Drosophila melanogaster: one gene and its partner. The protein of the gene in region 1 purifies or fractionates together with the protein of each later gene. This does not show direct contact. Each region holds a gene or a part of one and is shown in the gene's direction. Other genes may lie near its edges.

Region 1 (3,905 bases):
CCCGAGTGCCATGCTTGGGTTCATTCTTCGCTTTGGCGGGATCCTGTTTATGGTTGCGAATCACCGTCACCGGTTGCTTGAAGATCGAGGCAGTCTGTCGAATGGGAGGCACCAGGGAGACATCAGTGCGCAGGGCTCGGCTGTAAGGGATTAAAGATTGGAAATGTATTAGAGAAACGCCTTCAAAAAGCTAAAACACCGAACAGCACATTAGACAAAGCGTAAAGTAAAGCTTTAGCATGCAGAGATGGTGGAACATAAATCTCAGGTGGCACAGAGCTACAGCGTTTTTGAAGACAACTACGAATTGTTTTGCCAATTGTGTGTTTCTTTGGGTATTTTTTCATTTGATGCTTTTTAATTGCCGCAGGCTGTAGACCTTGCGTCCTGGCAAACAAGACATGACACGCTGACATGCAAGAGTCAAGTGCTCATCCACTTGGCTCTACCTGAGTTCGATCTGTTGCTGCTGGCGATTGGCCGTTGATGGTGAAGCAGATGCTGCTGTCGCTGTTGCTGCTGACGAGGCGGTCGCTGCCGGAGGAGCAGCTCCTGCTGCTCCTGCAGCATTGCCTCCTTGACTCCGGGCGAACTTGCGCTTGAGGGCATTGGCCGCCGATCCGCTGGTGGCCCCATTACCGCCCCCGCTTGCTATAGGCAGCGGCATGGCGCTGCAGCGGTACAGCGAAATGGAGGGCGAGGGCAGGGCGCAGTGCGGCATTTTGCCAGGCTGGAAATCAGGGATTGCAATGTCCTGTGGCTTTCCCTCCGCCCTTTTTCCTGTGGGACTGCTGAACAGACACGGCGGTGGATGGATATTTTTGGTGGGTTAGGTGGTAGTTCGTGTGCGTGTGTATACATAGGCGTATGCGTGTGTGTGGTGTATATGGTGTGTGTGTGTGTGGTTATGCGGATGTAATAACAGAAAGGTAGTGAAAGTGATTATAAACGTTTATCCGATTAAACAGCGTGCAGTGTTCCGATTTTAGGTATATAGTAGTCTATATAGTAATTCTGCTCTTCTTCTTTACCTGTAGTAGAAAACATCCACCTTGTTATTGTTGTTGTTGCTGCTGGCTGTGGCACTGCTGTTGTTGTTGCTGCTGGCGTTGTTATTGGCGCTGCTGCCGGACTTTCGGACCTCGTCGCGCTGCCATCCCTTTGGCAGGACACTGCAGTCGACGCGTTTGCGCTCGATTGTGACGCTCGGGTTCATTTGCATGCTCGCCGAAATAAATAATTAACAATTCCACAAAAGCAGCGTCTGGGCTAGCAGTGTGGCCGTACTGCGGATGGCCACAAATGCCGGATGGCACAATAGTGATGCTAGATTACATTCTCCAATATATTTATGATTTGAATTTAAAGGTACCAATGGGAAAATGAAAATAATTTAAAAGGTATTTATTTAAAAACAGAAACCTTAAGATGTTACACCTTGCACATTTTTCATTTCCTTTAAGCTTAATTCGCTAGTTAATCAGCAGTAGACCAATCTCACCTGGCCACACTGCCCAACACCTGATGTGAACATTTCACAGCACTGGTGGGCCAACTAATAAGAAAAAGAAGCAGCAGAAAAGGCGACGTAAGAAATTCCGGAGTTTTCATTCGCATTTTCCAGTCTACGAAACGGAATATGTAAATCCAGCCCATTGATAGACCTAGCCCACTCATCGCCACCTCGCGACAGTTGCCAACTTCCACGCGCAACGCCTGCCGCGAGCAGTAGAACCATCGAAGCGACCTCCCACTCGATCCAATTGGGAATTTTACACCTGGGACAAGTGGCAGCTGCTGGGAACCAAGAGACATGTCTTCGTCGGCCATTTTCGTTCTGGACGTGAAGGGCAAGGTGCTGATATCGCGGAACTACCGCGGTGACAACATCGACATGGCCGTGATCGACAAATTCATGCCATTGCTGATGGAGCGCGAGGAGGAGGGCCTAATCACTCCGATCCTTCAGACGGCGGAGACTACATTTGCCTACATCAAAACGAACAATCTTTATATCGTATCCACGACGCCGCGCAATAAGAACGTTAATATCGCTCTGGTCTTCGTCTTTCTGCACAAGATCGCGCAGGTCTTTGTGGAATACTTCAAGGAGCTGGAGGAGGAGTCCATTCGGGACAATTTCGTGATCATCTACGAGCTGCTGGATGAATTGCTCGACTTTGGCTACCCGCAGACCACCGACTCGAAAATTCTACAGGAATACATTACGCAGGAGGGTCATAAGCTGGAGCTACAGCCCCGCATCCCGGTGGCCGTGACCAATGCAGTATCCTGGCGGTCCGAGGGCATTAAGTATCGCAAGAACGAGGTGTTCCTGGACGTTATCGAGTCGGTGAATCTTCTCGCAAACGCCAATGGCAATGTGCTGCGCAGCGAGATCGTGGGCGCCATTAAGATGCGCGTCTACTTGTCGGGAATGCCAGAGCTGCGACTGGGTCTCAACGACAAGGTTCTGTTCGAGAGCACGGGCCGCGGCAAGTCAAAGTCCGTAGAGCTGGAGGACGTCAAGTTCCACCAGTGCGTGCGGTTGTCACGCTTCGAGAATGACCGGACAATCTCGTTCATTCCTCCGGACGGCGAGTTCGAACTGATGTCCTATCGTCTGAACACGCATGTGAGTATTTTTATGTACTTAGCACCAAAATGCAAGACTAACTAAACCCCTGTTGACAGGTCAAACCCCTGATTTGGATCGAATCAGTGATCGAGCGGCATGCCCACTCCCGTGTGGAGTACATGATTAAGGCGAAGTCTCAGTTCAAGCGAAGATCGACGGCCAACAACGTGGAAATCGTCATACCAGTGCCCGCCGACGCGGACTCACCCAAGTTCAAGACCACCATTGGAAGCTGCAAGTACGCACCGGAGCAGAACGCAATCATCTGGACGATCAAATCGTTCCCGGGTGGCAAGGAGTATCTAATGCGGGCACATTTCGGTCTGCCGAGCGTGGAAAGCGAGGACAATACGGAGGGCAAGCCGCCAATTCAGGTGCGCTTCGAGATTCCCTACTTTACCACGTCGGGCATCCAGGTGCGCTATCTGAAGATCATCGAGAAGAGCGGCTATCAGGCGCTGCCATGGGTGCGGTACATCACGCAGAACGGCGACTATCAGCTACGCACCAATTGAAAGGGGCAACTCCCGTTCCTGCATCATTCCAGCCAAGCTTCAGCGAGTCATCCTGCAACAGGTAGCTTCATCTCCACCCGCGTTTTTGTCTGCGATGCGTTGCGTTAAGTCAAAAGTATATATTTGTATTCGTATTGTTTCAGTATATGTATATTGTATGTAAATCAAATTTAATAAATTTTAACACCTTTTCATAACACCTGCACCAGAGTGGGTCACTTTGTATGTGCAAATTAAGACCTAGGATGCAACCAAGTTTATCCTCTTCGTTGGTCAGAGAAAACCCAAAAACCCAAAGTGTCTAATTTCACATATCCACCGACCCACCTGTACAGATGAGTCATAACAAACGGGTTGAACCCACAAAAAACTGTTTGCCTATTGCTTAATCATAATAAATGCACTTTCGATCGAGTCTCTCGGTTCGTTTTGATTTCTGATTTGTTAGCATCTTTATGGCACCTATCTGGAATCTATTTCTCAAAGTCCTTCAAGGGATAGTGCTCCTTGTGGGCCTCGATATGTTTTTCCAGCTCGCTACGCTGCTCAATCAAATGATCCGGCATCTCCGCGTAGACGCCTTCGAACATCTCACGCCAGTTGGGCTTGAGTTTCTTCTCGGACACTGCGATCTGCTTCAAAACCTTTTTCCTTATGTCCTTGACATATTCGTTTTCGACAGTCTCGTCAAACCAGCCTTTGTGCACCATGTAGCGCTTAAGCTTGGATATTGGGTGCTCCACCGAGTTCCA
Region 2 (4,999 bases), on another chromosome or scaffold:
AACAAAGCGATAGCTTTTTCCAAATTTGAACGCGAATCGGTAGTGGATTGGTAATGGTCATCAAACATCATCAAAATTTGCAAAAAATGGTCAAAAAATTGAATTTGCATTTTTGAACACAGTTTGATTTGAAATTTTATTACGAGCTTAACGAGGTATGACATTCCATATTTGGACCATTATTTCGAATGTTCTTATCAAAATACTACAATATGGTTTATAAAAATCAGGGGCAATCAGAGAAAATTTGAATAATTTATTTTTATTACCTTAACAGAACTGTGCAATACTTAAAAATATAATTTATAGACATCCCCCTAATAATTAGATAGATATAAGTGACACTTGCCCGATCGATACTATCGCATCGCCCTAGCCGCTGGCAGTGCCATCGCTAGCAGTTCAGTCAACAATTTAAGTTTTTGTTTTTGTTGGCCAAAAACACAATACAATGTACACATTGATGCACGGCTTCTACAAATACATGACTCAGAAGGACGACTACTGCGTGGTAATCCTGGGCCTGGACAATGCTGGCAAAACGGTAGGCAGCTGAATCATCCAATGAAAGCCTCATGTCCAATCGGAAACTAACACCTGTGCCCACGTAGACTTACCTGGAGGCCGCCAAGACCACGTTTACGCGTAACTATAAGGGCCTCAATCCGAGCAAGATCACGACGACGGTGGGCCTCAACATCGGCACCATCGACGTGCAGGGCGTACGCCTCAACTTCTGGGATCTTGGTGGCCAGCAGGAGCTGCAATCTCTCTGGGATAAGTACTACCAGGAGTCGCATGGCGTCATCTACGTGATTGATTCCAACGACAGGGAGCGCATGGAAGAGTCCAAAGCGATATTTGGTAAGCGAAAACAGTCTTCGAACTAATCCCTTGAACAAAACTCGTTTTGATCTATTCTGATGATCTCTGGTAAAAGGAAAAAGGTTCACCTAAAATGTGTTATTCTCTTTCCCCACAGACAAGATGATCAAGAACGAACTGCTGTCCGGAGTGCCTTTGCTAATCCTGGCCAACAAACAGGATCTGCCGGATGTGATGGGCGTGCGGGAGATCAAGCCAGTTTTCCAGCAGGCGGGTGCTTTAATCGGGCGGCGAGATTGCCTCACCATTCCCGTATCCGCGCTGCACGGCGAGGGCGTGGACGAGGGCATTAAGTGGCTGGTGGAGGCCATCAAACGACATGCGGTGGTGCGGCCGCCGCGGGAAAACGATTAGAAGATCAAGCAGAAGACATCTGGGCCTGGTAGTCGGCCCTCCACTGGCTTTAATTAGACATGTACTTTTGTAAGTTAGGGGCTTAGGATAACGCTTATTTGTAATTAGCCAGACGAGATTGCGAGATACCAATTGTAAAGATGCGTTGTCATTATTTGCAAAGACCTTTCTTTTCGGTTAACTACTGCTGAGAAAATGAGGAAAACAATGTTAGAAAGCTGTGAGACTTCTGCATAGGACAACGAATTACAAATACTATTGTTAGAATAACAAAGAACGCAATGCTTATTAGCCAATTAAGTGCAAGAACTATAAATTCAGAAGTACTTGAAGATGTATTTGAAGAAGTACTTTGTTCTGTTAATAACCCAGATACATGGGTATTTGGATGCCAAAAATGTAATAAAACTGAATCCATTCGCAGCTGTTATGGTTAATCGTTAGCCACAAAGTGTGTGGGCGATTCGAGGTCCACCAAAATCGGGAGAGTCGCTTCTTTATCTAACAGCACTGCACTCGTAGTACACCTCGATATGGCGGTTGTCAATGGGGCTCCGCTTATCCGAACCGAACGACACCGAACCGCGGAAAGAAACAACCAGCAAACAGACGGGATTGTGGTGTTCTCACGGCGGGGGGAGCATTATTATTACCATTATCAGTCCGATAGATAAGTGCTGTGTGTGCCACCAAAAAGCAAAGGCGGAGGAAAATGAAAATGAACTAAAAACAACACCTGGTGAGTGGCACTGGAATCGTCAGTCTTCCGCAGGAGTTTCCACCGCTCGGACTGGAAATGATCGGCCGCCAGCAAGGGCTAGATAGCTAGACCTCGAGCCAGAGCTAGAGAAAAGAAGAGCGTTACCTGTTAATTATTAGTGTACATTAGATAAGGCCTATGTGAAGCACTCGCCGCTTATCGCTGCCATTCCCATACCCGAACGCGCTCCCGCTCCCATTCCATTCGGTTTAGTTCCGTGCTCCAGTGAGAAGCCACCATGTATCCGTATTACGAGCAGGACTGGAGCGTTCTGCCGCCGGAGAACAATCGCAGGTGAGATGAAATCCCGCCCGGTGCTCGTTCATACCCTTAAAGATTCGCCAGTCGATCTTTAGAAAATGAGACTTTTGAAAGTGTTTTTCAAAAATGACGTTATCGCAGTGTGACCGTCCATTGACCGCTCTGCATAGCGGTATTTTTTTTTTATTTGTGCTGTGGTGTGGCAAAAGAAAATCGTTGAATCACCCTGTGTAAATGCAATTTATTGTCCCCCTATTATCTCTTTTATTTTGGTAAAACTGCCCCTTCTCTACTGGCATTCCATGTGAGTTGTTGCGGTTCGAATGCAATGCCATGGAAATATAATTAAGTGCATCTTTTACTTTGATAAGGCAATCAAATTAACTGAACGAATATTAAACTCAAACTGTTACTTATCTCTCAGATAAACACAATTAATTTGTAATGATTTATGCCTCAGTCTTGATATTTTCCGTATAACTATTTGTTTGGTTGATAAATCATTGAATACCTACCCACTGTGCCATCAAATGCGCTAACGCCTATCAGCGCGAGGCGTTAATGCCTTTTGCGCACACTGCTTGTAAATATCGCGCTCTCGCTCGCACCCACTACCACTGTTGCGCTCATCATCAACATATTCTCGACGAAACATTTTTTTTTACTTGTTACGTTGATTTTGTGGCGTTTAAAATAGCGATTAACCAGCGCCAAGTTGGCCCAGCGAACATGTGCTAAAGCGTAAATGCAGTGCTAGAATAGGCATTTATTCAATTGCAGAATCATTCCAGTTAAAAGCGAAGGTGTGTGCGTGTACTTGCGACGACGGGCCGTGTGTGTTGAAATTTTTTTTTTAGTTTTTGTCGCGTTGTTAAATTTTATAGTTGAAAAAAGCTAACGTGTTTCCTGATTATTCATTAACAAAAAAAACGTAACGCCGCCAAGTGCGCGAATGCATCCAATTTGTTAAAACGGAAATGCCCGTTGAAAAGTGTGCCATAGATTTTCCTGCCCTTTTCTTGTTGGCCCAAAAGGCATGCATGAGTGTATATATGTGTGTGTGTGCGTGAGCAAGTGTGTGTAGGCCTTCCAGCGAATCGCATAAATTAGCAGGCGAAAAATCACATTGAAAACAAACGAGGAAAGCTCGCAAGAAAAAAACCCTACGTGTTAAATATATACTATAGGGTATATAGGAGTGACGTTATTTCATGACTTTTTAATGCAATCGATATGTATGTATGTATGTCAGTTATGCTATCGCTGGCAGCTGTTTTCGTTTTTTGCCCAGTTCACTTAATAAAATATTAAGTGGACATCAGTAAACAAGTTGGATTTTTCGGGCTTACTGCTTCTCCTTTTCCAATTGGAAACCCTTTGCGCGCGTATGAATGTCTCTATTAATGTGTGTGCGTGTGTGTGCATTAATCATTTAATCAATTTGCATTGCGCTCCAAACTAAAGTGAATAAAGCACAGTAATTTGTTGTTGCCTTGGCCAGAAAGAGAGATCAAACGTATTTGTTTGAGCCAACTCACACACACCCACACCCATGCACGCATCTGAGATGTCAGTTTCATAACAACAGCGATCTACTTTATGTCAGCGGTAATTGTACCTGCTTTTATTTAAACTATTCAGCTTATTTTTTCCAATTCCATTAGCTTGGAAAGAGAGCAAGCGAGAGAAGGATAGAGAGTAGGAGAGCAAGTGCAACAAAATAGCGGCCGGCTGTTATTCCCTGTGTGTGTGTGTGCGCGCGTGTGTGTGCGTTTGTGTGGGAGTGCAGGTGTGTGTGCGCGGAAGATCTGCAGAGGAAAAACCGTTATTTCGTTTCGCTAATTTGTGTTGTTGCCCCGCCGCAACAGCAACAAAAAGAAAACAGAAGAGCACATAAGCCGGCAAATAGTTAACAAAACCAGACGTAATAGAATATAATAATAATAACAAAAATATAAATAAAAATACGAACCAGTAAAAGAAGGAGCAAAAAAAAGGCTGCCACACAAGTGATTCAACGTTTCTCGTCGCCACAATGAACTCCGAGCATGGGTAGGATCCTAAACAGCAGTGCAAACATCCCTAGAATTATGCCCATATAAACCCATTTAACCTCTTCCTCCGGCAGATTTAATCCAGCCTTCAATATGGCCACCATACGGCAAGCATTCACAGAGGCGGTGGAGAGAGGTAAGTCCAAGACAGTGAACACCACTTGGTAGATTGCTCCAATAAGAAGATGATCGTGTGCTTGTGATCACCCAAAAGGTGGCTACAAGTACGCTGCACTCCTTATTCATTCAGATATATAGTTATAGTTCTATTAATGACCTGAAACGAAGGATACAGGCAGGGGTTAAGAGAGAAAGATCAGCGGCCAGACAGACAAAAACCCGATTAATTAACATATTCACATCCACTTCTCGCCCACAGTCAGAATGCCTACGCCCACACGCCTGCGCGACCTCATCCGACAGATTCGCGCCGCCAGAACCGCCGCCGAGGAGCGGGCGGTGGTCAACAAAGAGTGCGCCTACATACGGAGCACGTTCCGCGAGGAGGACTCCGTCTGGCGGTGAGTCATCTACACCCGGTTGCAATATACATATGTATATACTATATATATATATATATTCGCCCACAGCTGTCGCAACATTGCCAAGCTGCTGTACATACACATGCTCGGCTATCCGGCTCACTTTGGCCAACTGGAGTGCCTTAAGCTGACGGCCAGCACGC

The links. The genes of interacting proteins can lie anywhere in the genome.
Region 2: the proteins of AP-1mu (region 1) and AP-1gamma purify together in Drosophila melanogaster (affinity purification with western blotting, with the first as the bait; one study listed by BioGRID). This does not show direct contact.

Annotation. Positions count from the first base shown.
Region 1 is NT_033777.3:9,557,158-9,561,062, reverse strand, and holds AP-1mu (adaptor protein complex 1, mu subunit), read left to right. Parts: upstream 1-1,537; 5' UTR 1,538-1,813; coding exon 1,814-2,635; intron 2,636-2,694; coding exon 2,695-3,153; 3' UTR 3,154-3,351; downstream 3,352-3,905. Other genes in the region: MBD-like (Methyl-CpG binding domain protein-like), read right to left, coding at 1-140, 450-791, 1,032-1,222; BckdhA (branched chain keto acid dehydrogenase E1 subunit alpha), read right to left, coding at 3,627-3,905.
Region 2 is NC_004354.4:9,106,694-9,111,692, forward strand, and holds the start of AP-1gamma (adaptor protein complex 1, gamma subunit), read left to right. Parts: upstream 1-1,997; 5' UTR 1,998-2,237; coding exon 2,238-2,293; intron 2,294-2,856; exon of another isoform or gene 2,857-3,294; intron 3,295-3,924; exon of another isoform or gene 3,925-4,295; coding exon of another isoform or gene 4,296-4,312; intron 4,313-4,388; coding exon 4,389-4,450; intron 4,451-4,693; coding exon 4,694-4,835; intron 4,836-4,904; coding exon 4,905-4,999. Other genes in the region: Arfrp1 (ADP-ribosylation factor related protein 1), read left to right, coding at 452-544, 612-864, 983-1,239.